Ovis aries: one gene and its partners. The protein of the gene in region 7 binds, or shares a complex with, the protein of the main gene of each other region. Links are inferred from orthologs where the notes say so. Each region holds a gene or a part of one and is shown on either strand. Other genes may lie near its edges.

What was found.
Region 1: SF3B1 (region 7) and SF3B2 share a complex: the UniProt entries of both Homo sapiens proteins name them as parts of the SF3B subcomplex of the 17S U2 SnRNP complex. The link is inferred for Ovis aries from reciprocal best matches to the Homo sapiens genes SF3B1 and SF3B2.
Region 2: the proteins of SF3B1 (region 7) and U2AF2 are in contact, whole or in part, in a crystal structure (PDB 7SN6), measured with the Homo sapiens proteins. The link is inferred for Ovis aries from reciprocal best matches to the Homo sapiens genes SF3B1 and U2AF2. Residues at the interface, in NP_036565.2 of Homo sapiens: Ser336, Arg337, Trp338, Asp339, Thr341, Pro342, Ala343, Met346; in NP_009210.1 of Homo sapiens: Met383, Glu388, Glu394, Glu397, Ile398, Asp401, Val402, Glu405, Gln447, Gly448, Leu449, Thr450, Gly451, Arg452, Lys453, Phe454, Ala455, Val459.
Region 3: SF3B1 (region 7) and HTATSF1 share a complex: the UniProt entries of both Homo sapiens proteins name them as parts of the 17S U2 SnRNP complex. The link is inferred for Ovis aries from reciprocal best matches to the Homo sapiens genes SF3B1 and HTATSF1.
Region 4: the proteins of SF3B1 (region 7) and RBM17 are in contact, whole or in part, in a crystal structure (PDB 2PEH), measured with the Homo sapiens proteins. The link is inferred for Ovis aries from reciprocal best matches to the Homo sapiens genes SF3B1 and RBM17. Residues at the interface, in NP_036565.2 of Homo sapiens: Arg334, Ser336, Arg337, Trp338, Asp339, Glu340, Thr341, Pro342; in NP_001139019.1 of Homo sapiens: Leu309, Met312, Val313, Asp319, Asp321, Leu322, Glu325, Thr326, Glu329, Leu372, Arg375, Tyr376, Phe377, Gly378, Gly379, Val382.
Region 5: SF3B1 (region 7) and DEK share a complex: the UniProt entries of both Homo sapiens proteins name them as parts of the B-WICH complex. The link is inferred for Ovis aries from reciprocal best matches to the Homo sapiens genes SF3B1 and DEK.
Region 6: SF3B1 (region 7) and SF3A2 share a complex: the UniProt entries of both Homo sapiens proteins name them as parts of the 17S U2 SnRNP complex. The link is inferred for Ovis aries from reciprocal best matches to the Homo sapiens genes SF3B1 and SF3A2.

The regions. Positions count from the first base shown.
Region 1 is NC_056074.1:40,571,963-40,575,955, forward strand, and holds the start of SF3B2 (splicing factor 3B subunit 2), read left to right. Parts: upstream 1-1,193; 5' UTR 1,194-1,218; coding exon 1,219-1,351; intron 1,352-1,519; coding exon 1,520-1,569; intron 1,570-1,858; coding exon 1,859-1,936; intron 1,937-3,034; coding exon 3,035-3,283; intron 3,284-3,496; coding exon 3,497-3,547; intron 3,548-3,993. UniProt on the Homo sapiens protein: Component of the 17S U2 SnRNP complex of the spliceosome, a large ribonucleoprotein complex that removes introns from transcribed pre-mRNAs.
Region 2 is NC_056067.1:62,666,231-62,669,730, reverse strand, and holds part of U2AF2 (splicing factor U2AF 65 kDa subunit), read left to right. Parts: intron 1-653; coding exon 654-789; intron 790-1,276; coding exon 1,277-1,321; intron 1,322-1,555; coding exon 1,556-1,659; intron 1,660-1,756; coding exon 1,757-1,908; intron 1,909-2,994; coding exon 2,995-3,111; intron 3,112-3,245; coding exon 3,246-3,384; intron 3,385-3,500. UniProt on the Homo sapiens protein: Plays a role in pre-mRNA splicing and 3'-end processing. By recruiting PRPF19 and the PRP19C/Prp19 complex/NTC/Nineteen complex to the RNA polymerase II C-terminal domain (CTD), and thereby pre-mRNA, may couple transcription to splicing.
Region 3 is NC_056080.1:98,729,608-98,733,780, forward strand, and holds the start of HTATSF1 (HIV Tat-specific factor 1), read right to left. Parts: upstream 2,801-4,173; 5' UTR 2,597-2,800; intron 2,396-2,596; 5' UTR 2,341-2,395; coding exon 2,155-2,340; intron 540-2,154; coding exon 359-539; intron 1-358. UniProt on the Homo sapiens protein: Component of the 17S U2 SnRNP complex of the spliceosome, a large ribonucleoprotein complex that removes introns from transcribed pre-mRNAs.
Region 4 is NC_056066.1:10,895,321-10,898,383, reverse strand, and holds part of RBM17 (splicing factor 45), read right to left. Parts: intron 2,081-3,063; coding exon 1,929-2,080; intron 872-1,928; coding exon 798-871; intron 313-797; coding exon 214-312; intron 1-213. UniProt on the Homo sapiens protein: Splice factor that binds to the single-stranded 3'AG at the exon/intron border and promotes its utilization in the second catalytic step. Involved in the regulation of alternative splicing and the utilization of cryptic splice sites.
Region 5 is NC_056073.1:38,626,901-38,630,400, forward strand, and holds part of DEK (protein DEK), read left to right. Parts: intron 1-845; coding exon 846-947; intron 948-1,166; coding exon 1,167-1,276; intron 1,277-2,748; coding exon 2,749-2,843; intron 2,844-3,500. UniProt on the Homo sapiens protein: Involved in chromatin organization.
Region 6 is NC_056058.1:19,182,315-19,186,261, forward strand, and holds the start of SF3A2 (splicing factor 3A subunit 2), read left to right. Parts: upstream 1-1,147; 5' UTR 1,148-1,264; intron 1,265-2,085; 5' UTR 2,086-2,197; intron 2,198-3,947. Other genes in the region: PLEKHJ1 (pleckstrin homology domain-containing family J member 1), read right to left, coding at 105-171, 339-406, 499-592. UniProt on the Homo sapiens protein: Component of the 17S U2 SnRNP complex of the spliceosome, a large ribonucleoprotein complex that removes introns from transcribed pre-mRNAs.
Region 7 is NC_056055.1:199,700,664-199,703,289, reverse strand, and holds the end of SF3B1 (splicing factor 3B subunit 1), read left to right. Parts: intron 1-1,137; coding exon 1,138-1,354; intron 1,355-1,642; coding exon 1,643-1,801; 3' UTR 1,802-2,126; downstream 2,127-2,626. UniProt on the Homo sapiens protein: Component of the 17S U2 SnRNP complex of the spliceosome, a large ribonucleoprotein complex that removes introns from transcribed pre-mRNAs.

The DNA of each region.
Region 1 (3,993 bases), on a different chromosome or scaffold from region 7:
TCTCAGAGCTGGAGGCAGAGGTGGGAAGATGAACTGAACTGACTGATCAGGACAGGGAGAAGCAGAAGGGGGCAAGCAAGGGCCACCTGCCCATCCCTCCCTCAGGGGCACAGGCCGCTGGTGGGGTAGGAGAGCACCAGACAGGGTCTGCTGCGCCAGTAAGCTGGTGGGGATGAGGGAAGAAAAGGTCCTGAGTTTATTTTCTTTCTTTTTCGGCCTTGCGGTGCGGCTTGTGGGATCTTAGTTACCTGACCGCGGATGGAACCCGGGTTTCCCCAGGGAAAGCACTGAGTTCGACCCACTGGACCACCAGGGAATTCCCCTGCGTTTATTTTCAAGACTAAAAAAGGATCCAAATCTTGTCGCTTAAGACTGCTTTTTTTTTTTTTTTTTCCCCCTTTCAGTAATAATTCATTGAGCACTTCTAACGCCAGGTACTGTGAGACCGTAAAAACTCATGTCTTGGGAGTTGTAAGTGCAGAAAAGGGCAAGAAAGATTTCAAAACAAATGGTAGAGGTTTGGCCGCTCCAGAGCAGGAAAGGCGGGAGACAGTTTAACGTAGATGACATTTGAGACGGCCAGGAAGGTGGAAAAAGGGGCTTTAGTGTGGCCCTTCCCCCAGGTCGGCAGCTGGATCTCAGCCCGGAGGGCCGGCTTCGTTCCCGTCTCCGATCTCCTTTCAGCCCATTCATCCATGCCTGGGCCGGGGATGGGCGGGCAGACAATCAGACACTGTTTTATCACAGGCATCGGCGGCAAACTCCCGCTTGGCGCCCACAGCGCGCGACCGCCGGGGGAACGAGTCCCTGGAGAACGTGAGCGTCCAGGCCTCTCAAGTCCAACCAGGGAGTAGCGCCGCAAGGCGGGAGGTCTGCGCTGAGGCCAGTGAGATGCAGAAAGCACGCCCTTCGGGCAGGACCTGCTTTCCCCACAGCCCCGCCCCGGCTCTGGCCTCCAGAGTTCCCCGCGTCGCGGCCGGCCGCGATCCTCCCGGATTTGAATCCGCAGAGATCGTGACCTGTGCACTACAACTCCCAGAAGGCTTCGCGACCAGGCGGCCTAAGGAGCATTGGAGAACGGTAGGGGGTGGGCCCTGATGGGAACTGCCTGGCAACCCTCGAGCGGACGTGGCGTATCGCCCTACCGGAAGTTCCGGGAAGTGGGTCCGGAGGCTGGTCCGAGCTTCCGGGTTGGTCGCGCGCCTTCCTGCGGCTAAGATGGCGGCCGAGCATCCGGAGCCTCCTAAGGGAGAGTTGCAGCTGCCGCCGCCGCCGCCTCCTGGACACTATGGTGCCTGGGCTGCCCAGGAGCTTCAGGCCAAATTAGCAGAGATCGGAGCTCCCATCCAGGGTGAGGAGCATGGGAAGTCAAGGGCAGGAAAGTGCAGGCCTGCGGGGAAGCGGAGCTGGTTACCCCGGAGACCCGGGGGCGGGGGTTAGAGGCTGGCCGCGGTGGCCTGACTTGGGCAGGCTGGCCTGCTCGACCTGACCTACCCCGTTGATCCTGTGCTTTGCTTAGCAGGGAGTCGCGAGGAGCTTGTGGAGCGATTGCAGGCTTACACTCGCCAAGTAAGTGTTGGTGGCGGGACATGAGGATAGGCCGAGCGTTTGCAGGAGGCATTAATGACCCGTTACAACTCGGTCTTCGTTGTTTACGAATCTCGGTACAGCAAGTGGGGTCTTGGCTGCTTCGTATCTGCTGTGTTATAATTGCTTTTGTATATATCGTTTCTTCCCAGAGCCCATTCCGAGCTCTGGCAGACAGTCACTGGGTAAATTTTGTTGAATAGACGAGAGCGAACGCTGTTTCATGCACCAGCTCCTTTTAGACTGCCCTAGATTCTTTTCACTTTCACAGACTGGCATCGTCCTGAATCGTCCCGTTCTGAGAGGTGAAGATGGGGACAAAGCTGCTCCTCCTCCTATGTCAGCACAGGTAAGAAGACTGTCTCACTTGATAAGATTCTTTTCTACTCAGAGTAGCTCCTCCTCTGAGCGTACAGGGGGATACACGTAGCCCACTGGGCAGGGAGGTACACTGATGAAAGAACTGGGAACTCTTCAGTTCTTCCTTCGTCCAGATTCTTACTTCCTTTCTCAGTGTCAGTTCCTCCAAATTTCATGTGTCATTTAAGATTCAGCTTAAATATCTGGAAACCTGACATAATCCTTCCCCAGCTGGAAGTAATCACTCTCTTCTCTGCCCTCCCTGTGCAGAGTTCCCATGTTATTCAATGAGAAATTAGGGCTTACTCTCTGATTTAATTTCATACCTTCTATATTTAATCAGTCATTGGGGCACACTGGGTCTTATTTATTTAAATACTCTCAATTTCCATGTCTTTTCTGATCCAGGATTTGATAGTTTTTCTGTAGAGCAGTGGCCCTGACTTGGGGTCCAGGGACTTCTATGTGTGGCATAAGAAGGTTTTTATTTTTTGAGGGGTTGAGGAGTTTTTCAGAAGGCCTTTAGAGGTGTCCGTGAGTCTCCTGAAATTGTATGTGAAGTCTGTGTTCATGATGTTCTTCTGGGACAGAGTTGACAGCTTTCATCAGTTGGTGGCACAAAGTTAAAATGCTCTTCTTTCGATACTGCCGTAGAGTATTCTTTCTTTTTTCCTTTATGTCTTTGGCTGCTCTGGGTCTTCATTGCTGTGTGCAGGCCCTTTCCAGTTGAAGCGAGCACAGGACTACTGTCTAGTTGTGTTGTGCGGCCATCCCATCGCAGTGGCCTCTGGTTGCGGAGCACGGGCTCCAGGGTATACGGGTTTCAGCAGCTGCAGCACACGCGGCACATGGGCTTAGTTGCCCCGCAGCACGTGGAATCTTCCTAGAGCAGGGCTCGAACCCATGTGCCTTGCGTTGAGCGGATTCTTAAACATTGGACCTTCAGGGAAGCCCTGCATTTTCTTGAATGCAAGAATTGTGCATCATTTGACTTTGAATCCCAGTGCCAGCCTTATATTAGTTCCCCAGCAAATGCCTGCCATTACATAAATGCTTCATAGTTAATGGCCTTTTTTTCCCCCCACAGCTCTCGGGGATTCCCATGCCGCCCCCACCCATGGGTCTCCCTCCTCTACAACCCCCTCCACCACCCCCACCACCCCCACCTGGCCTTGGCCTTGGCTTTCCTATGGCAGTTGGACCCCGCCCGCCAAACTTGGGGCCTCCTCCTCCTCTCCGGGTGGGTGAGCCCGTGGCGCTGTCTGAGGAAGAGCGGCTGAAGCTGGCGCAGCAGCAGGCGGCATTGCTGATGCAGCAGGAGGAGCGTGCCAAGCAGGTAGGGCAGGTGGCAGCCTGAGCCTGGGTCTCACCAGGGTCCTGAAAAGGGAGTAGGGCCTCCAGGGGAGCCGGATCCTGGGGCCAAGGCTTCTGGGAAGGTCTGGACCCAAGTCTTCAGGGCCTCGGCTGGAAGAGCAGACCAGGAAGCAGAGCTGTGGTAGACTGGCCGGTGGGGTGTGGGTACTGGAATGAGCTCGTTTTCTTTCTTAAGCAGGGAGATCATTCACTGAAGGAACATGAGCTTTTGGAGCAGCAGAAGCGGGTAATGCCTCCCTCTTCCTAACCTTTGACCTCCATGGTCTAATCCATCGTCTGTCACTTCTAGTGCTTACTGTCTAAAATTAGCCGTGCCATTCAGGTTTCCCATGGAGATTACCTCATCCTCATCTAAATTCCATTATCTCCCAAATAATTCTTTCTTTCACATAGCCAAGGAATTGGTAATCTGTGGACTATAGCCTGTTTTTGTATGGCCTGTGATGTAAGGATGGTTTTTATATATTTGAAGGGTTGTTTCGGGGAGATGGGGGAAAGGAATTTACAACAGTCTACAAACAACCCAGAAAGCCTAAAATATTTACTGACTGGCCCATTACAGAAGAAATTTCCTGACCCCTACTGGGCTTTCCCAATGGCTCAGTGGGTAAAGAGTCTGCCTGCAGGAGACAGGAGATGTGGGTTTAATCCCTGGGTTGGGAAGATCCCCTG
Region 2 (3,500 bases), on a different chromosome or scaffold from region 7:
GAGGGTGGCGGGCTGCTGGGCAAAGGAGGGGAGGTCGAAGGCCCCGGCTGTAGCGGCCGTGGGGCGGTCTGGACGAAGGGCCCACCCAGCTCCTGCGTCCTTGACGCGGGGGTGGTGGGCGGGGCCTCCCAGGAGGGCGGTCCGCTTGGGGGCGGGGCTGGACGGGTGGGTGCCCCCCCCCCCCCGGGGCTGCCCGGCCCCGCCCGGCCTGACGCGGGCCCGAGGTGGGGCGCGGGGCCGGCTGGTTGAGGAGGAGTCTCCTGAGGGGTCGCCGGGTCCCTTCAGGAAAACATCACTGGGTCTCTTGATTCCCCAGCGTCTAGCCCTGCCCCTCTCAGGGACGACCCTGGGTCAGGCCCCTCAGCCCTGGAGGGGGACCAGGAGCCAGCCTCCTCTGACTTCTCTGGCCCCCCAGCTCCTCCTGAGCAGACTCAGGTACCTTACACCCCGGGGCCCTGCCAGGCCCTGTCCCCTCAGGTAACTGCTCCCGCCCGGCCCCCAGGGCCCTCGGGCTCCGCGTGCGTGGACAGGAAGCCTGCCGCCCCGCCCTCCTCGAGCCCTTCCCCGTGGGGGTGGCCTCCCGGGCAGGGGCGCGGCCTCGGGGGCGGGCGGGCCGGGCTGCCCCCGCCCAGCTCACGGCCCTGTCCCCGCAGAGCGCGACAAGGAGAATCGGCACCGCAAGCGCAGCCACAGCCGCTCCCGGAGCCGGGACCGCAAGCGCCGCAGCCGGAGCCGCGACCGCCGCAACCGGGACCAGCGCAGCGCCTCCCGGGACAGGCGGCGCCGCAGGTACCAGGGCGGCGGGGCTGCGTCTGGGCCGCCGGCCCCTCTCCACGCGGGGCTGGGGGCTCTGCTGTCCTGTCTGGCCGCCGTCGTCTCTCTGCGGGGGCTTCCGGGGGCGACTCTGGGGTCAGGGCCCCGCTTCCCCCGTCTGGTCTGGGTTCTCCGTCGGCTTCCCGGGCTGCGCTCTGCCTCCCTGGGGCGGGACGGCGTCTCTCGGGACAGCTCTCTGCTCGGACGCCTCTTCCCTTCCCAGGCTGCCCCCTGTTCTCTCAGCCCCAGTGGAAGGGCGGGTGGGTGGCGCCCCGCCTCCTCCCACCTCAGCCTCCAGCTGGAAGCTGGTCTGTCTGGCCCTTCTTCCCTTCCTCGTGGCTGGGGGGCTTGGGGGCGATGCCCTGCCCCAGCCCTGGGGCTCAGTGCCCTCGGGGGGGTGCGGTGTGCGGGGAGACGAGGGTCCCCAGTCACCCCTCCCCACACCTTTCCCTCCCACCCCCAGCAAACCTTTGACCAGAGGCGCTAAAGAGGAGCACGGTGGATTGATGTGAGCTTCTCTTCTGCCCCTTCCCCCACGCCCTCCCCCGCCTCCCCGCGCACCCCGCCCTGTCCTCATCCGCTCGCCGGGAAGAGTCCCCTGCCCAGAACGGGTCGGCCCTGATTGCGTCCTCTCTCTCCTTGAGAGCCGAGCCGGGGACCGAGGGGAGCCGGGGGGGCTGCAGGCCCGCCTTTGGTCAGACTGAGGTCGCCCTGCCCCACTCTCCCCTCCCGCCTCCCCCAGTCGCTCCCCCCGCCACGAGAAGAAGAAGAAGGTCCGCAAATACTGGGACGTGCCGCCGCCGGGCTTTGAGCACATCACCCCCATGCAGTACAAGGCCATGCAAGGTGGGCTCCACGCCTGGGCTGGGGGCGGGGTGGGCGAGGCCCTCAGCAGACCCTGCTCCGACAGTTTGTCCTCTGACCCCTTCTGTCCCTCTTGAAGCTGCGGGTCAGATTCCAGCCACTGCCCTCCTCCCCACCATGACCCCTGACGGTCTGGCTGTGACCCCAACGCCGGTGCCCGTGGTCGGGAGCCAGATGACCAGACAGGCCCGGCGCCTCTACGTGGGCAACATCCCCTTTGGCATCACTGAGGTACTGCCCTCCCCTGCCCCCGCTGCCCCCCCTTCCTGTGCCCGCTGTTCCTCCCTCCGTCCGTTCCCTCCCCCAGCCTGCACGGGTCAGACTCTGCGCCTGCAAGGCCCCCCGGCCCCCTCCCCGACGGACGATGGAGTTGAGCCAGCCAGGGGCCGGGCTGGGTGGCCCTCTCCTCCCTCCTCTTCCCTCTCCCATCTCCCCTCCCCAGCCTCCTCCAGCTGCCCAGGGATCAAGCACACACATAACGTACCCACGAGTCTGTGGTCCGAGTCCGTGTGGAGAGAGACAGAGAGGGAGACACGCACACGCACACACACGCAGACGCACGCCCCAGCCTCTCTGACACGCCTCTTGTTCTCTGCCGCCTCCCCGTCCTCTCCCCCACCCCTCCATGGTTGCTGCTCTGATTTTGATCGCCCTGACCTCCCCGCCTTCCCCACCGCTCCTGTCCCCTCCCCTCTCCCTACCCCTTCCCGTGGCGCCCCCGAGAATCCCGAGATCAAAGAGTTGTTTCCATTTCTCTTTAAAGTGAAATATTGTGGGGCTGAGATCCCTCGTAGCAACAAAAAGTTTGCTACCATCGGCGAAGGCAAGTAAGGTCCATTCTGACTTTCTCAACCTGCACTTTGCTGCATTTGATAAACCAGCCCCCGACTCCAGGACCAGATCCCTCCACATCACTCTTCTCTCCCCCCTCCCCCCCCCCCCCCCCCTCCCCGCCCCCCCTCCACCCTCCGTGTGCTCCGCCTGTTGATGCTCCACTTCATGCCGTCTCTCTCCTGCTGTCGCCACTGGATGTTTCCTCTACACTTTCCGTCTGTTTTCTCGCCTCTCCCTCGTTTCCCGCTTCTTCTGATGACCTCCCTTCTTCCCCGGTTGGGGCCCCTGGCTGTCTCCTGTGCTGCCCCCTGCCCTTGTTTCTTTCATCTTTCTCCTGCGTTTGTCCCAACTACTGATCTCTGCCCCACCCGGACTCCACTGTCCCCCCCCTCCCCCCACCCCTCTGTGTCTCCCTCTCTCACCCTTCCCCTCCTCTCTCCACCTCCCCTCCCCGCCCCCCCCTGTCTCCTCTCTCCTCTGCAGGAGGCCATGATGGATTTCTTCAACGCTCAGATGCGCCTGGGGGGGCTGACGCAGGCCCCTGGCAACCCTGTCTTGGCCGTGCAGATTAACCAGGACAAGAACTTTGCCTTCTTAGAGGTGAGCAGGCCTTGTTCCCACCAGGCCCTTCTGCAGTCTGCTCGCCACCCAGCTGCGGTCTTGGCACCCTTGGGTGGGCTCTGACCAGCCACTCGCCTTGCCCCTTACCAGCTTCATTCCTGTCCTTTCTTTAGTTCCGCTCAGTGGACGAGACCACCCAGGCCATGGCCTTCGACGGCATCATCTTCCAGGGCCAGTCGCTGAAGATCCGCAGGCCTCATGACTACCAGCCCCTGCCGGGCATGTCGGAGAATCCCTCTGTCTACGTGCCTGGTGAGTGGGCTCTGGGGGGCACTGAGGGGTGCACAGGGCCAGCCCGGGGTCTCTCAGCCTGTCGGAGGCTGGGCAGCCCTAGGGTCTTGGGAGAAGTGGGGTGCGCTGGGCCTCCA
Region 3 (4,173 bases), on a different chromosome or scaffold from region 7:
TACTGTCAGATCTGGCCAAGCTGAAGCAAAATTGACTTGTTTAACTTAACTGGAAGTACCAAAAAAAAAACCAAAAAAAACCCAAACCAACCATATAAACAGAACTTTAAATAATCTTCTAATAAGAATTCTGTTTTGGAAAGGAAGAAACTGAGAACTGAACTGAATTGAAACAATCTGCTTGATGCCTATAGGTTAGTGGGAGAGCCAACACATGAACCCCAATAAAAATAATAATAATTAAAAATACCCATCTTATGATTCTGTCAAAGTTATAATTCTCCAAAAAGTAAATACATATACACATACTCATATTTTTAACTTTTATACTCATGTTTTGCAAGCTAAATCTACTTGCCTGATTCAGCCTTTCTCTTTTCTCCCTTCTTTTTCAGATCACTGGGTTCAGGGGGTTGTCTTTGCGGAGGTTCTTCTGCAGGCCTGGCACTGACATCTTGGATACTTGCAGTAGAACTCGATGCGCCATCGTTAGAAAAGCCATAATTGGCCTGATATGTAGCAATGAAATCTTCAGTGATCTAAATAAGAAGTTTAGTGCACACACACACACACATTAAAAAATGATTTCCTACTGTGAAAAGTTTACACTGTATTAAATAACAGTATATTCAGTTATACAATGTCACATTTGAGTGTTTCTGTGGATAACAGTAATTAAAGCATATATGAAGAACAGTCACCTACATAGAAAACTGTGCAAGAGAATAAAAAAATTAAGACATGGGTACTTGGATTATCAACACAAAAGTCTGAGATACTATTAAAGGCATTTTAAGTGATGTTGGCACCTTTCCTAGTTGTTTCATTTGTAAATTACTATCTCTGTAGTCTACTTGACGAAGACTACAAGTATATATAGCAAAGGAAGTACCAGATAACAATAAACAGAATAAAAACCAACAGTCAACTAATAATCTAACAACAGAATCAAATTTTCTTTTACTATACAGATGAACATAAGGATATGTACTCAAATCACATTATCATTTAATGTCAAAACAAATCAAGAACAAATCCAACTCACATCCATCCTCCTGGCTCTTAGAGAAAAGAACAATTGTACAATGAAACAAATGTAGTTATATCTTCCTACCAGTCAATGTGAGGCACACATAGGAATGAGGAAAATTTTGAACTTGGAAGTTTGAAGTGGTATGGGTTCCATAACATAAAAAGATAGAGCCAAAAATTACTATACTATCAGACGACTGTTGAAGTACTCAGAAGGCTGAAGAAACCAAATCTGCACTCTAGCTGGCACCACCAGTACCCAAGTGAAATGTTAAGTTTAACAATTTAGAGGGATTGGAACATACACACAAATAAAAATTGGGAAAGAAAACAGTTTAAATAAATAATTTAAAAAATAACACTCAAATTACACAATGCAGACACGGTTTGCATCACTGGCTTGCAAATCTATTAGTGTGCGATAAGTATCCTTTTTTTTCCACCTGTACCACAAGACTTTGATTAACAGGGTACTCTGACCAAAAAGTTTACAGAACCAAGTTTAACATCCGTCATTTTACTTCCAAGCTGAAACTGAATGCTTAAAAATTTACAGGTACTCTAAATAAATAGGCACAGATCCTTTCCATCCAAATTCTGTGCTCCTCCTGTCATATTCCTGTAGTGATATGGTTCAAATATACGTGTCTAGGACCAACTTTAGTAGGAAAGAAAAAAAAAGATGCAACCTTTAATCAGTAAAAATTTACCAATTTATCAATTTTTTTCAACTCAAGAAGTTGCATTTTGCACCTAGCACATCAGTTAACCATCTGAATTCCTAGGATAAGATTGAGACTGCCTTGAGATTAACATCCATTGAATTTGCTCTTGATGTTTTTCTCTTTGCAATAAAAAGCAGTCACTGACATAAACCAACTGCAACCTTCATAGATAAAATTAATAAGGCATAAAAAGGACTTAAGAATTAAATTACATTGAAGACATCTTCCTAAAGATTTCCGTTCCTTTACACGTCGGTTCTGCCACAGACACAACAAAAAGAAACGTCACAACCAGAGGGGCTCTAACCCAGGACCTCAGCAAAGAAAACGTGAAAGGAGCGCCCCGCGAGGCTGGCCAGGTGGGCCCGCTGTGCAGCGGCGCCCGGGCGACTCTTACCTTGGGGAACCAAGCCTTCTTGTCTAGGTCCCACTCGTACGGGGTGTCAGTCGGCTGCTGCCCGAAAGAATCGGTTTCTCCACCGGGATCTTTCTCGGTGTCGTCGTCCTTGGTGTCTCCGTACAATTCTTGCATTCGCAACTGCTCATCAAACTCGTCATTCGCATCCAAGTTGTTGCCGCTCATGTTGCCCACTTAGCCTAGAGGCAAGGTCCGGTCGAGCGAAGAGGCCGAGCTGATGCTGGAGGGGAACAGAGAAAAGGAGGTTGGCCACACTCAGCTCGCTCCCCACCGCCCCCCGGCCCGCCTCCCCGCGGCGCCCCAGCAGCCCCCGGGAAGTCAGGGCCACTCGGCGGCCGCACCGCCCCCCGCTCCGCCCGCTGCCCGCCCGCCGCGCGCGCGCGCGCGTCGCAGGTCCCGGCCCCGCCGCGCCACCGCCCACCTGATTCGCCCCGCCGGGCCTCGCCGCCGCTGCCCGATCCGGGTCGAGGCGGGAGCGCGCACGCGCGCCGCCGCCGCCGCCGCCGACCGGGTCTGAGGCAACTGCGGCTCCCGCGTCAACGTCTGGAAACCACTTGGAAACCGAGGCCCGCTCAGGATGACGAAGTCGCCATTGTTGGCGCGTCGCGTCGTCGCGGGGCGCACCGGCACGCCCCCAGTGGCGTCAGTAGGAGCCGACACGGGCCAGAGGCGTGGGGCCCCGGGGGCGGGGCTCCGGGAGCTGCGCTGCTGCCGAGCGGAGATGCTCAGCAGGGCTGTCCTGGCGCGGGGGCCGCGGGGAGCGCAGGGCCTACGGCCTCTTGGGAACGTTGGGCTCCGCGGGGTCCGCAGCGGGGCGGTAGCCCAAAGGCGTGGGAAGATTCCCACTCGGCCGGCGCCGGAGCAGGCGTCGAGGCGGCCGCCATCTTGGGGGAGTGGACGGGACAGGCGGGACAGGACGCGCTGCGACAGAAAGATGCGCCTCCTTCTCCCAGAGGCCCCTCCTCCGCGTGGGAAACGAGTCTTTCACTTGTTTCGTGAAGACTTCCCTAGGAGAGCCGGGTTAGCCCGAGCTGGTAGTACAGGGTCTGATGTATAGTGCGTGTGTGGTGAGTGAATGAATGAACGAACGAATGGTGAGTGGAAGGACCAACCTTCTCTCCAAGTCTCTGCTCCGTCCTTTTCTTTCTGGTACCTTCCTCAGGCTGGAGATGACTCTGGAAAGGAAAGGCAACAGTTGCCTGTCCCTTGTTCTCCAAATTTCAGACTTGCTCAAGCTACAAATCTGAAACTGTAACATCCAGTGTACACACCACCTTTACTGCCCCACTAACGTCGTTTTTTGATGTTTTAGGAAAAAAGTGCATGTGATAGAACTTACATGCATATTTATAGTGTAGATAACGAGTTTTATTGGGCTCATATACGTTTTGCTAAATATTTCTTTTAGGATCCAAAAATAGTATTCAGCTGTTTTCAGCAATATGTTATTGAGCTTCCATTTCATTCCTGAATAGGTTCACAGCATAGGTGAACTAAGCAGTTCATAGGTATACTAAGCAGTCCTGCTGCACGTGACTCTGAGCGCCTGCTGTATCCACAGGCCCTTCCGAGCAGGTGGCCAAAAGTTGATGTTTAGCTCCTGTGTGACCCAGTTGGAGGCCTGTGAGGTGACTTGGTAGGGTAGCCCCGCATTCTAGACTGAGTTTGACTCACTGAGCCAGTAAGCCTCTCCCAGAAAGAGGGACGAGTAGGAAATGTGGGCATGGGCAGAGTAGTCTTCTGTGGCCAAGTTCCGTATGGGTGAGAGGAGAAGCTGAGGCAGTGATAGAGGGTCATTGAGTCACCACTATAGTGGAGTTGGGAGCGAAACATGCTTGTAGCTATGATAGCATTCTGTTTGGCCATTGGGTCCCACAGTTTTGTTGCTACTGTTTAATGCTATTGTCCCTATGCGACCTGGTTCCTACTTTTATTTCCTTGTGGATTCCTAGAATTCAACCCCTAGTAACTGAGTTAATCTGGAAGTGTCTCTTTATA
Region 4 (3,063 bases), on a different chromosome or scaffold from region 7:
CACAAAATGAAATGTCTCTTCACCAAATAAAATTTGAAGTTCTTCTTATGCTAATATCTGAAATTGCAATAACTGAGTAAAAGCAGTATAACTAACCAACACATGTCACCTTCTAAAGACAGTATGTTACTTACAATGCATCCTCTATTTACAGAAAATGCTTTGTGACCTATCAATCATAACTTGGGTTATAAACAAAGAAATCTCTCTTACTTCAAATATCACACATTTTCCAACTTTGCCATATTTCTCACACTCTTCCTTGGTTTCTACTTCCAAGTCTTCATCCACCTCTCCTGCACCAACCATGTTCTAGAAACAAAAATAAACATATAAATTCCAGTACTGAGTATAATTGACAACTATGTCAAAGAGATGTATAAGTAACTTTTTTCCAAGATGGCAAATGTTTCCAAACCCAAATGATTCAAAGAAAATTTTCATTCCTGAAATATCCTGAAGTAGGTTAGTTTTTTTAAAAAAATTAAAAAATATACATTAGGCTTCAATAAGAGTTACCAGAGCAACTGGGCAAGCACCAGAATACACAAACCAAGCTGAATTTCTGACAACTTCAAACATTTTAAAGTAATTTCTCACTGTAGTCTTAAATACTAATGTTTAGCAAAGAAACACTAGTGAAAAGGAATCTAAAAACCAGTCTTCCAGGGAGTCTTCCCACAATTACCACCTTCAGTTCGCTTCAGCTATCCCATCATCAGCCGGGCTGACTGATTGCAGGGACAGGGTGGGGGGAGGGACACAGGGCAAACAGGGCTCCTCCCTCAGCTCCTTACCCTGAGTAGGACCACTTTGGTAGGACACTTAAGTATTTCAGTTAATGGATTTGAATCTGACTTCTTGGCTGCGTCTGTAAGAAAACATCATCAGACAGAAGTGTCAGGGCACCAAGTCTAAGTTACAACGAGCAATTTACTTTGAACACCAATCCCCACTCTCTATGTCCTAGAGCCAGCATCTACACAGTCTCTGAGCCAAGATGTAGCCTTTCCTATCCGAAAGCATCACTTTACTTTGGTATAATTTTTACCATAAATTCTAGAACTTTTTAATATCCTCAGGTGCATTTTTGCTTAGCTCACTTCCTAAAGGGCCAACAGGGCACAGTGATCACCACCCTCAGAAGCGAGTCTTGACTCAGGCAGTGGTCAGAGGTCGTGAGCCCAGTGTAAACGAGCAGTTCATCAGCCAGCCGTGAGCTGACCAGTGTCAAATACCCCCACAGACTGGGCTGACTGCTGGTTTCTGGTTCCAGCCTGTGAGGCTTAGTGCTGCTTCAAGCTCGACGTCAACATGCCTGGCAGGAAAGTTCTCTTCCTTCTTCAGGAAAAAGCATTCAGCTAAGACTGATTCAAAACTACGGAGTTCTCCTGCTTGAAGTGCTAAATCATGCCTGACTCATTCCAGCGTGCCCTCACTACAGAACAGACTGTAACAGTCAAATGAAAATAGAACACCAAGCAGGCATCACCTACCAGAAGACTGCAAAATAATGCTAGTTTTACAGAGCAGTCAGTAAGAAAATTAGGATGAAAGGGCAGAAAAAAGCAAAAAGCAGAGAACCCTTACAGAATAGAGATACAGCAGAAAGAATTACTGATATACTGCGTATGGCTCTGCGTTGCTATAAAAACTCAGTAACGGTTCTATCAGTATAACAAGGCTCTTTCCCGAGGAGAAGCAGGCATGACAGGATTTCTGGAGTCCTGTTCATTGCTGCCAAAGCCTCTCGTCTTCTTTTCCTCCCACAGGCGTTCTGTCTCTCTGTCTTGAACTATTTGTAAAGATGGGCCTCAGAACTGTTTCCACCACCCAGAGCTGGAAGGCATCACGATGAGGAATTCTCTCATTCAGGATGGCCTGCCCCCGCCCACACCCCCAGGAGCCCTGCCCGAGGGGAGGCCCACCTTTCTCGGTGGCATCGCCCACGATGATCTTGCCGCCCCGCTTGCTGGTCTTCTCCACCGACAGCGCTGTACTCAGACCCTGCTCATGCTTCCCGAGACCCTGGCCTTCCCGGAAGCCATACTTCTGCATGATTTTATGTGCTACCGTGCCCCTGCGAGGAGGAAAAGGAGAAAGGTCCCTGTACTTGGGCCATCAGCTACAGCACAGATTGGATTTTACATCACAGTAATCTCCTTCCGGGAGGAGAGAATGTAGATTCCACAAGGGCGTTGATGATGCCATTTATCTACTAACGGGCTAAGAGACAGAAGTTGTGGGATGTTCAGAAGACAGATTAAAAAGTGGATGCTGGAATCCTGGGTGCACTGAGATTACCTCTGAGGTGAAGGAAACACTAGTTCCTCTGGTAAGAGCTCCCCAGGGAACTGCATTTTCTGTTAGAAAATACCAGACTTCCTGGGTGCCCCTGTACCTGCTCTGCTACAAGGCTCATAACCAATTTAAGTAATCCTGTCAAAAACTAAGTATAGTCTCATGTAATGAAGATGACTGCATTTTTCTAAGTAGTACAGAAGAGTTTCCAATGACTGGCTTCATAAATGAAGGATGCTTAAGGACTATCTGTTTAATAGATGGAAATAAAGAAACTGGGGCCCACAGTGGCTGCCTCGCTTAAGGCTGACTGACAGCAAAGCAAGACACCACATGTTGGTATTAACAGCAGGACTGAAACTGAAACCCGCAGCTCTGAATTCTTAGTCCACTGCTCTTCCTCTAATCAGTAACAGCTTTCAAACTACACAGGGAGGAGCCTCAGGGGCACTGACCACTGCTTCTTAGGGCCTGAACCCCAAAACCCTGCTTCAACCCGAACTGTTCCGTTCAGCTCAGTCGCTCAGTCGTGTCTGACTCTTTGCGACCCCATGAATCACAGCACGCCAGGCCTCCCTGTCCATCACTAACTCCCAGAGTTTACCCAAACTCATGTCCATCGAGTCAGTGATGCCATCCAGCCATCTCATCCTCTGTCGTCCCCTTCTCCTGCCCTCAATCCCTCCCAGCATCAGAGTCTTTTCCAATGAGTCAACTCTTCGCATGAGGTGGCCAAAGTATTGGAGCTTCCGCTTCAGCATC
Region 5 (3,500 bases), on a different chromosome or scaffold from region 7:
AATCCTCTGTTGATGCCCACTTAGTACCTAGTGCAGCTTTGCACAAAACAGGCATTCAGGTGAACGAATGGAAGGCCTTCTAACAATATGTATCGTCCTCTTATTTGTCTGAGTTTATCTCAGTCAGAAAATAAATGGGTTTTAGAAAATCCAGCTTAATATTTTAAGTGTTAAAGTATATACTACCTAGCTTAAAAAAATGCAGTCCAGACTAAACATTGCAAAACTTTTTTCCCAAGGTTTTATGACCATTATTATGAATATCATTTATTGAACTACAAAGTAATGGCATCCCAGTTGATTGCCTTAAATGTTAACTTGCAGAATTTTACCCTAGCTGTAGTAACTAACCTGGGTGCTCTGTCTTATTGTTCTTCTTTTTCTTTCTTCTATCAGCTTACTAAATTACTGCTTTCCTTGGATATCTCTTGAAATTCTTTTATCTCAATTTTAACTTGCTGTTTTCTGATATACAGTAAATGGAATCCCAATAAATAGAATATGTCTAATCAAATTGTAGGTTAATGAGCATATTGGTGATTTTTCAAAAATTGACTTCTGTAGCAATAATTGTAGCTAGATAACAGTTTGTTTGCTTTCTGATTTTTTTTCTTTTTAAAGCACCAGTTCCTCTGTTAAGTTGGCCAGGTCGATAAAATATTACATTTTTAAAATTTCAGTGATGATACTAACTTACCAAGTATTTTCACCTCTGTTTGTGTCATTTGCTTCTCTAAATCATACTTAGGAGGTACTAGGTTTCTACAGTTTTTTTTCTCCTACATGTTGATATAATACATCCTTTAAGCTTTTTGTTACTTACGAAGTGTTAAATTAACTTCTAGAAAAGAGCCTCATTGTGGAAGGCAAGAGGGAAAAGAAGAAAGTAGAGAGGTTGACGATGCAAGTCTCTTCTTTACAAAGAGAGCCATTTACAATCGCACAAGGTAAGTTTCTATTCCTTTCATTCTGTAGTGAAAATGCCTCAGTATACAACATGATGGTTAGCAATGTTTAGTTTTTAGTGTTTATTAAGTACTAATATATTATAGGTGTAATTTAATTTGTCCTGTGAGAGCATATGTAAACTAAGCTCTAAAAATAATTCTCATTAAATGTTCTAACACATAATGGGTGTTTAACATGGTATTTTTTTTCCCCCCTAGGAAAAGGGCAGAAACTTTGTGAAATTGAAAGGATACATTTCTTTTTGAGTAAGAAGAAAACAGATGAACTTAGAAATCTCCATAAACTGCTTTACAACAGACCAGGAACAGTAAGACCTTTTTTATACTTTTTACCTAGTAGTGTACTTACGTGTTAAAATACTTTACAACAGGAACATAATTTTAGTTCTGGAAAGGACTTTAGTTCCAGAACTAAATCAACTAGATCAATCTCCATTCCATACAATGTAGCTAGATATAGCCATTAGTATTATAATATCCAGAGCTCTTTATATTGTTGTTTTTAAGTGAAAGTCGCTAAGTCGTGTCCGACTCTTTTCGACCTCATGGACTATACAGTCCATGGAATTCTCCAGGCCAGAATACTGGAGCGGATACCCTTTCCCTTCTCGAAGGGATCTTCCCAGCCCAGGGATTGAACCCAGGTCTCCCGCATTGCGGGCAGATTCTTTACCAGCTGAGCCGCAACGGAAGCCCAGGAATACTGGGGTGGTTAGCCTATCCCTTCTCCAGCAGATCTTCCCAACCCAGGAATCGAACTGGGGTCTCCTGCATTGCAGGCGGATTCTTTACCAACTGAGCTATCAGGGAAGCCCATAGTTGTTTTTAAGCCAAACTAAAATTTCAGATTGTGAAATCAAAGTTTTGATTTAGTGATCTTTAACTGTGTTAGAAGAAATTTATTTTTTGAATGTTTCTAGCCATTCAGAATAAACGATACAGAATATTGTGTCTCCTTATGAGGAAATATCTGATAAACCAGGGGATAATTTTTTGCCAGCAGTTTGTTAAAATAAATCAGTGTTTCATTTACTGATCATAATACTGTACACACAACTTCAGTGTTCCATACACCTGAGGACACTTCGCTTTGGGCTATGCATGGGCAAAGTAAAGCTTGACATTGTTTGGCTGTCTGAAGCGTGGTAAGCTTTGTTTTCATGTGTGTTACCTCATTCCACCCTGACAATAGTCTGATCTACACAAGTCCCATTACTGCTAAATGGTATTGACTTTTGGAGGGACTCTGTTATTTGCTTTTTAAAGAATAAATCCCTGACTTTCTTATTTGAAAAATTAATAGTACTGGTAACTTATGTTACTTAAGGAAGGAATTTTTTTTTAAGTTATTTATTTATTTTGGCTGCACTGCCTGGCTTGTGGAATATTTATTCCCCAACCAGAGAATGAACCTGGGTCTTGACAGTGAGAACGGGGAGCCAGAACCACTGAACTGCCAGGGAATAAGAGTAGTAGCTTTCCATATCCCTGGGTGTTATCAGATAACATTTAATTGTGGTTTTATAATTACTCGGGAAATTTCCCAAATGAAATACATTTTAATTGAAATTGGTATTTTCAAAGAATTAAGTTTGTAAACATTTTATAATGTTAATATTTTAGTAACAAATGCACTTTTCCATTGTGAATTTTAAAATATGGAATAAACCGCTATTGTAACGTGGAGACAAATGTGAAAAGAAAAATGTTGGCTTTGAAATTTTTCTTGTTTACATTACTGGGTAATAAGTAGCATTAATAATAGGAGAAACGTTTTCAGGTGTCCTCATTAAAGAAGAATGTGGGTCAGTTCAGTGGCTTTCCGTTTGAAAAAGGAAGTATCCAGTATAAAAAGAAGGAAGAAATGTTGAAAAAGTAAGTTATCTTTATAAATAATCATGTTTAGATTAATGTGCTTCAGCTTTTTTTTTTTTAACATTTTAAGTATAACTGCCCTTACATTTTCAGTAGACTGCTGATTCTTTGCTTTAAATTCCAAGACCATGTCATCATAAACTATTAACTTGCTTTCTGAAAAATAGTGGCTATCAAGATTATTGAAAGCTAAAAGACATTTCTGTTCCTTAGAAGAATGATACACAGAGGTAAATCATTCACACAGCTCCAAATTCAGAAGGTCCAAAGGGAATGTAAATGTAGTAAAAACTCTTCCACTCCTATTCTGTGTCAGCCACTCCATTCCCTCACTTTTAAGTGCCATTTAAACTATTTTGAAGATAGTCAGGTTAACAGAAATAATTTCCACCCTAATGCAGACAAGATGATATATTCTTTTTAAACAATTTTTTAAATAAGATGATACATTGTTTAAAGTTTTTTATTAAGGCCCCTGTAGTTTAAAACTTGAGTATTAAATATGATTACCTATTACCTTCTTTGAGACATTGTCAGTAGGAATGCTCAGGGGGAAATGTAGTATTTAATCACCAGCCACAAGAATTAACAAGTTTGTGAATTTTAAGTAATGAAAAATTTTACATAATTTTCTAGTGAATGAAGTAAGTTTTTTCT
Region 6 (3,947 bases), on a different chromosome or scaffold from region 7:
GGGCCAGCGCGTGAGGCTGCCCGGACACTGCACTCAGCCTCTAGGGACTTAGGTGGGGCCACGCCGGGGCGGGGACAAGCAGCCTCGTCCCAGGCCGCACTCACTGATGGAGAAGCTGCTGGGTTCTTCGTGGATGACTCTGCAGTGCTCCAGCAGCAGGGCTCCAATGGGCTGCGGGCAAATAGGCGCATGGGGGAGGACCCCGGGAACCCGCCCGCCCCTTGCCCCGCCCCCGATTCCCGAGCCCGCCCTGCTCTGACACCCGACCTCGACCCCGCCCCGTCCCCGACTCCGAACTCCGAACCTAACCCCCACTCCGATCCTCTCTACCACCCTACCTCCGCCTCGTCCGTCCGGAAGTAGAAAAGGAAGTTGACCACCAGCTTCACCAGCCGCCGCTTCACCACTGCGAGCACAAGGCGGGATCGCGCGGGTTCAGTACCTGCCCACTCCCGCCCCCTCAGCCGCCCGCCCGCTCCGGCGTCCCGGACCGCTCACCGCTGCCTTTCTTGGGTCCCCGCATGCCCAACTCGGCTGCCATCTCGGCAGGCTGCCGGGATAACGCCTGCAGCTCTTTGTCGTTATAGCGCATGGCGCCGCCGGTACCCAGAACGCGGAACGCCGGCCGCGCCCTCCCGGCCGCCGTCCCAACGCTCGCCGAGGCCGGCGCCAAGGGTCCTACGGCGCCGTCCCGGAAGCGCAGCCGGAGCTACTACGCCTGCGCGCTCCCGGGCCGCTCGGTCTGTCAATCACCGGCGTGTGGCGGAAGCGTCTCGGAGGCCGTCAAGACGGAGCGGGCACTTCCTGGGGCGAACGGGACTATAGGCAAAATGGACGGTGTCATATATGACCATGTAATAACGTGAACCCGGGATGGGAACAATAAAGCATCCCCACGACCGGTGGTGCCCGTTATTCAAACGAACAGGCGCCAGGGGTGGGAGGCGAGTCGCAACTACCCTCCCCGCGAAAACTGGCCCTGCGCGAGCGGTACTGACCGAAAGAACGAAATTATCCGGGGTGCACGCGCACTTCGACTTCCGGTTTGCACTCCGCTCCCCTCTTTCCTTCAGCCTATCAGCGTGTCGCCCGCGCCATTGGGCGGGCCGGGCATGCGTACGCAGGAGGCCCGGCCCGTCCTGTCCCCGGAAGTGCTTTCTGAGCTCTCGGCGCGCGTGCGCAGGACGAGGTCGTCGCGGTGGCTGTGGCGCCTGAATAGACCAAGGCAGTGTGTGAGGAGCCCGTGGACTTGACGAAATCGTGGGTGAGGATTAGTAGTAGTGCGAGACAAGGGCGGCGGCCCCGGGGGACTCCTTGGAGGGGAGTGGCTGAAGTGCTGGGTTGAGGGCGGCATCGGCTCTCTACCCGTCGGGCGCTGGGCCGGCCCAGCACCCCCACCCTCCCGCAGGGAGCTCCGGTTGCAAAGGCCCGTTGGGTCGGGTCGGGTCGCAGCGGACCCGGGGCGCCTTCCCTGAGTCCTCTGGTTTGCTGGCTTTGTGGTCCGGGGCTTACCTGGTTCCTGTAATAGGTGGGGGTGACGGCGCGCCTGGTTCCAGGCCCGCCGAGGAGTGAGGAAGGTCCAGAGGCGGATCTCTTGGCTCGAGGCCCAAGACCCGTTAGCTAGGCGCGTTTAGCGAGCGAAGCCCAGAGTTTAAATGACTTCTCCCCTTGTCACTCTGGGAGCCCGGCCCCCTTCTCCCTTCTGCCCTTTGGCAGCTGAGTACGAGCGACCTGAGCTTGTAAATAGCCTGAGTCGGGTGTAGAAGTGGTCTCTCAACTTCCTACCGTGACTGCTGAGGTCTCATTTCTGCCTCCCCCTCACCCGCTGCAGCCTCATCCTTCATACCATGGATGTGGTTAACCTGAGCTTCAGTCAGATTGTCAGTCTTATTTTCTAGGGCTGAAAATAGCGTTCGCTGCTCAGGCGGGTACTGTATTGAGCCGTGCTGCTTTTTGAGGGTACTGTTCTCCTCTTAACCCTCCCCCCAGAGCGCTTTCATTTCTTCATTCTTCCTATTTGTCTGATTTTGCTGGTTATTAATTTTTCTCTCAAAGCATCATTATTTCACACGCCTTGTTTTTCAGTCGCATCTGACTGACCCCATGGGCTGCAGCACATCAGGCTTCCCTGTCTTTCACCATCTCCCAGAGTTTGCTCAAGCTTATGCCCATTGGGGCTTCCCTGGTGGCTCAGAGGGTAAAGTATCTGCCTGTGATACGGAAGACCCAGGTTCGATCCCTGGGTCGGGAAGATCCCCTGGAGAAGGAAATGGCAACCCACTCCAGTATTCTTGCCTGGAGAATCCCATGGACAGAGGAGCCTGGTGGGCTACAGTTGCAAAGAGTCGAACACGACTGAGCAACTACACTTAACTTATGTCCATTGAGTAAGTGATGCCATCCAACCATCCCATCCTCTGCTGCCCCCTTCTTTCGTGGTTAGTCTTTCCAAGCATCAGGGGCTTTTCGGATGAGTGCGCTCTTTGCAAGCGTATGGGTTGTAGTTTGCCATGGGTTGAAACAATGGATGTCTTTTTTCTTTTCCTGCCTGCAAACTTCCCTCTCAGCGCTGGCATCCTCCTGTTCCACTGAGGACTGGAGCTCCACTCAGCAGCTGAGTAACTATCCTAGAACCTTCTGTCCAGGCTCCCATGGGCTGGTTTCTGTTTTCAGTCCCACTGTCTCCTCTTTTTCCCATCAGAGCTCTTCAGGTAGGTTTTGAAGAAGTCGACTCATTTGTTCAGTTTGAGTCCTCAGTTTGCTGAAAATGGCTTTATCCATCCCGACAGTCAGAAGTGTGGGTGTAAAGTTCTAGATTGAAAGCCCCTGATGGGAATTGGGAAAAGCCTTGCCCTGCCTTATGTGTTCCTGCTGTTCTGAAGGCTCTCATCTCATCCTGGTTTCTAACCTCTTGTTGCTGAGTTTTTTTCCATCTACTAGGAAACTTCATGGTCTATTTATTGGAGAGTTTTTTATTTTTTTAGGTTGTTTCTTTGATAATACTCTCCAAGTTTTTTGTTTTTCTTTTCTAGTTTTAGTTTTGTATTTGGACTGTAGTTGACTAACAGTGTTGTGCTTCAGGTGTACAGCGAAGTGAATCAGTTATACATATATACAGACCCATTGTTTTTCGTTTTGTTGCCCTGTGTAGGTCGTTAGAGAGCACTGAGCAGAGTTTTCTGTGTTCTTTATACAGTAGGTTCCTATAGGTTATATCTTTATTAAATATAGTAGTGTGGCCATGTTGTGTTCTCAGTCCAAAATTTCTAGGTTCTTGCTTTGCCTCCTGTTATCTTGTTATTTTGCTATTGTTTATTTTTCTGTTCTTTATGATAGCTTTGACTCTTATCTTCAGGCGCTCACATTCAGTGTGTTAGGCTCACTGCATCTTTGCTTAAAGGGTTTATCTAGTGTTAATTGGCCATGCTAATCTGTGGCATCCTGTTCTAGCTGTGGGAACATCGCCCATCATCCAAGAGGATGTTAACATCTTCTGTTGAGCTTTTCACTGAGTTTCCTTTTTCCCCAGTACATGCATTTCTTCACATCTGTTTAGATATCAGTTCTGCGTGGAGCTTCCTGGTGGCTCAGACGGTAAAGCGTCTGCCCGCAATGCGGGAGACCCGGGTTCGGGAAGATCCCCTGGAGGAGGAAATGGCAATCCACTCCAGCATTCTTGCCTGGAAAATCCAATGGACGGAGGAGCCTGATAAGCTACAGTCCATGGGGTCACAAAGAATCGGACACGACTGAGCGACTTCACTCTTCTGCATGGAGAGCAGTGCTTCTCTAGTGAGCTCAGTGGGCCTGGCAAAGTGCTGAGGTTTAGGGGATGCAGAGCCCCCAACTTTCAGTGTCTGAGAATACTGTCTCTGGTGCTCTCTCCCCAGAAGAAACTCCTGATCTCCCCTGTCCCCTGGGCTGGGGACTCAAGCCAGGTTTCTTGC
Region 7 (2,626 bases):
GCGCTGAGTCCTAACAACTGGACCATCAGGGAATTTCCAATCAACTTTTGTTTTAAAAATTACAAAGAAAATGATGAGCATGAGCTTATTGATGTAACAGAGAGACCTGATCTTTTTAGCTTTTTGTTATGGCAGGTGAAGCAGAGACACTTTTAACTACTGAACATAGCCTGCCAGAGCCACACTATTGTCACTGCAGGCCCCCAATTATTCAGATGGTGACCCCTGATAAAGTATTGCTGGAGGTGATTGATACAGTCCTAATACCAAGAAACATTACTTTAGTTGGGAAATTTACCAAGGAGGAATACAGATTCATTATAATCTATGCCTAATAGATTATTATAATAAATAAGAGAAATAAAGATGCTAGTAACTAAGTCGGTTCAGGTGCTTTTTTTTTCCTCTTAAGGTTTAAGAGAAAAAAGTATTTTTTTCTCTTAAATACCTTTCAGGTTCTCTTCTTGCCTTCGAGGGTAAAACGTGTGAACTTGTTTTTATACCTATCATAGACGTTTTATCTGATACTTGTACTCAGTTGAATAAATTATGGAATAAATAAGTCAATGATTTGTCATAAAGTCAGTCAAAACATGGGAGGTGATAAAAGTTCTTTTTTCTGGGTTTCAAAAAATTATTAGTCCTTCTCTTCCTTTCCCCAAATTGAACTCTTGAATGAATCTTTTTAAAAAACCACAAGGGAAGGGATTTAATCTCATTTTATTTATTTACTGTATACAGTATTGAATTACTTCCGAAGATTTTAAATTTACAGAGTTTAAAATGAGATATTACTGTTAATTGTTCGTATGTTAAGAGTCATGTATCCTCTCTTATTTTTAGTAGCTTGCAAAAATACACATTGTGCTGGGCCTTCTTGCTCCTGTTACTCTGAAAGAAAAATATAGCTTATTTTTGAGCCATTGTGAGCAGGTTTGAATCATCAAAGCAAAAGTTCTCAAGTATAATCATCAGTCATTCTTAAGGTATCCTATGTCAGATACACGAGGTGTAAGGATGACTCTGCATCCATTCCAAGCACTGAATTTGTGATTTAGTTTCTAACAGGCATGCAAGTATTTTCTGTGAAACTAAGACTGCATCTTAATAAAAAGCTTTTTCCCCTCTCCATTACAGGGACCTTGTACACAGACAGACTGCTAGTGCAGTGGTGCAACACATGTCACTTGGGGTTTATGGATTTGGTTGCGAAGATTCGCTGAATCACTTGTTGAACTATGTATGGCCCAATGTGTTCGAGACATCTCCCCATGTAATTCAGGCAGTTATGGGGGCCCTGGAGGGTCTGAGAGTTGCTATTGGACCATGTAGAATGCTACAGTATTGTTTACAGGTAGGTTAAAGGTTTTTTAAACAGTATTCATTGAAAAAATAATGTAGTTGAATTAAGTCACTGTTCCTAATTATCATTAGGGAAGATATATTTGTGCCATATGGGAAAACAGTTATGAGGGGAGAGAAGATTAGATTTTGTCCTTGCCCACTTCAGTTTTATGAAATTGACATCTTTTTTTTTCCTCTCTCAAAGGGAGATGTTTAGAACCATATCTTTATGGTTTGTTTGTTAGTTGTGTTAAGGTTATGTATTTCTTGAAATAATATAACCTTTTAATTATTCTAGGGTTTGTTTCACCCAGCCCGGAAAGTCAGAGATGTGTATTGGAAAATTTACAACTCCATCTACATCGGTTCACAGGATGCTCTCATAGCACATTACCCAAGAATCTACAATGATGATAAGAACACCTATATTCGTTATGAACTTGACTATATCTTGTAACTTTATTGTTTATTTTGTGTTTAATGCACAGCTGTTTCACACCTTAAACTTGCTTTGATTTGGTGATGTAAACTTTTAAACATTGCAGATCAGCGTAGACCTGGTCTTAGAGGAAGAGCTAGAAATCCAGTAGCATGATTTTTAAATAACCTTTGTTTTTGATGTTAAGCAGTAAACGCCAGTAGTGACCAAGAACACAGTGATTACACACACTATACTGGAGGGCTTTCATTTTTAATTCATGTTTATGAAGATTTAGAATTCATTCCTTGTGTTTAAAGGGAATGTTTAATTGAGAAATAAACGTTTGTGTACAAAATGCTAACTTGTGTGTGTTTTTTGAACATGACTTGTAAAATGCGGAACTTTGATAAAGTACTGGTTTCTGTAGAATAAGTGGCTTAATATCGTTTTCTGTCACCTGGTTTATAGAGAGTAGTTAGTAGAATACAAGCTATATAAAGTGATGGTATCTTTGTCAAAATTCCATTGCTCTGTTGATAAAGACATTAGGAAGAGTAGCTTTGAGGGTGTTAACCTCAAACTAGCACAACCCTTCCATCACCTTAGAAAATATAGCACCTTTGCTGAACTGTCTTTAATATTATTTTGCACTTGCATAGCGCCTTTCATCTCTTGATTTCTCAAAATGCTTATGAATTTGCTTAAGGGAAGTAATTGAAGTCATATCCAACTCGTGACAATTCTGTTTAGAATGTGGGAAAAGTAGCTTAAACTTCTACTTGTAGGGAGTGAGGCTACCTCTAAGTCATGCTAGTTAGAATAAGACAATCTTTTGAGTTCTTTGCCCATGTCATGTCGTAA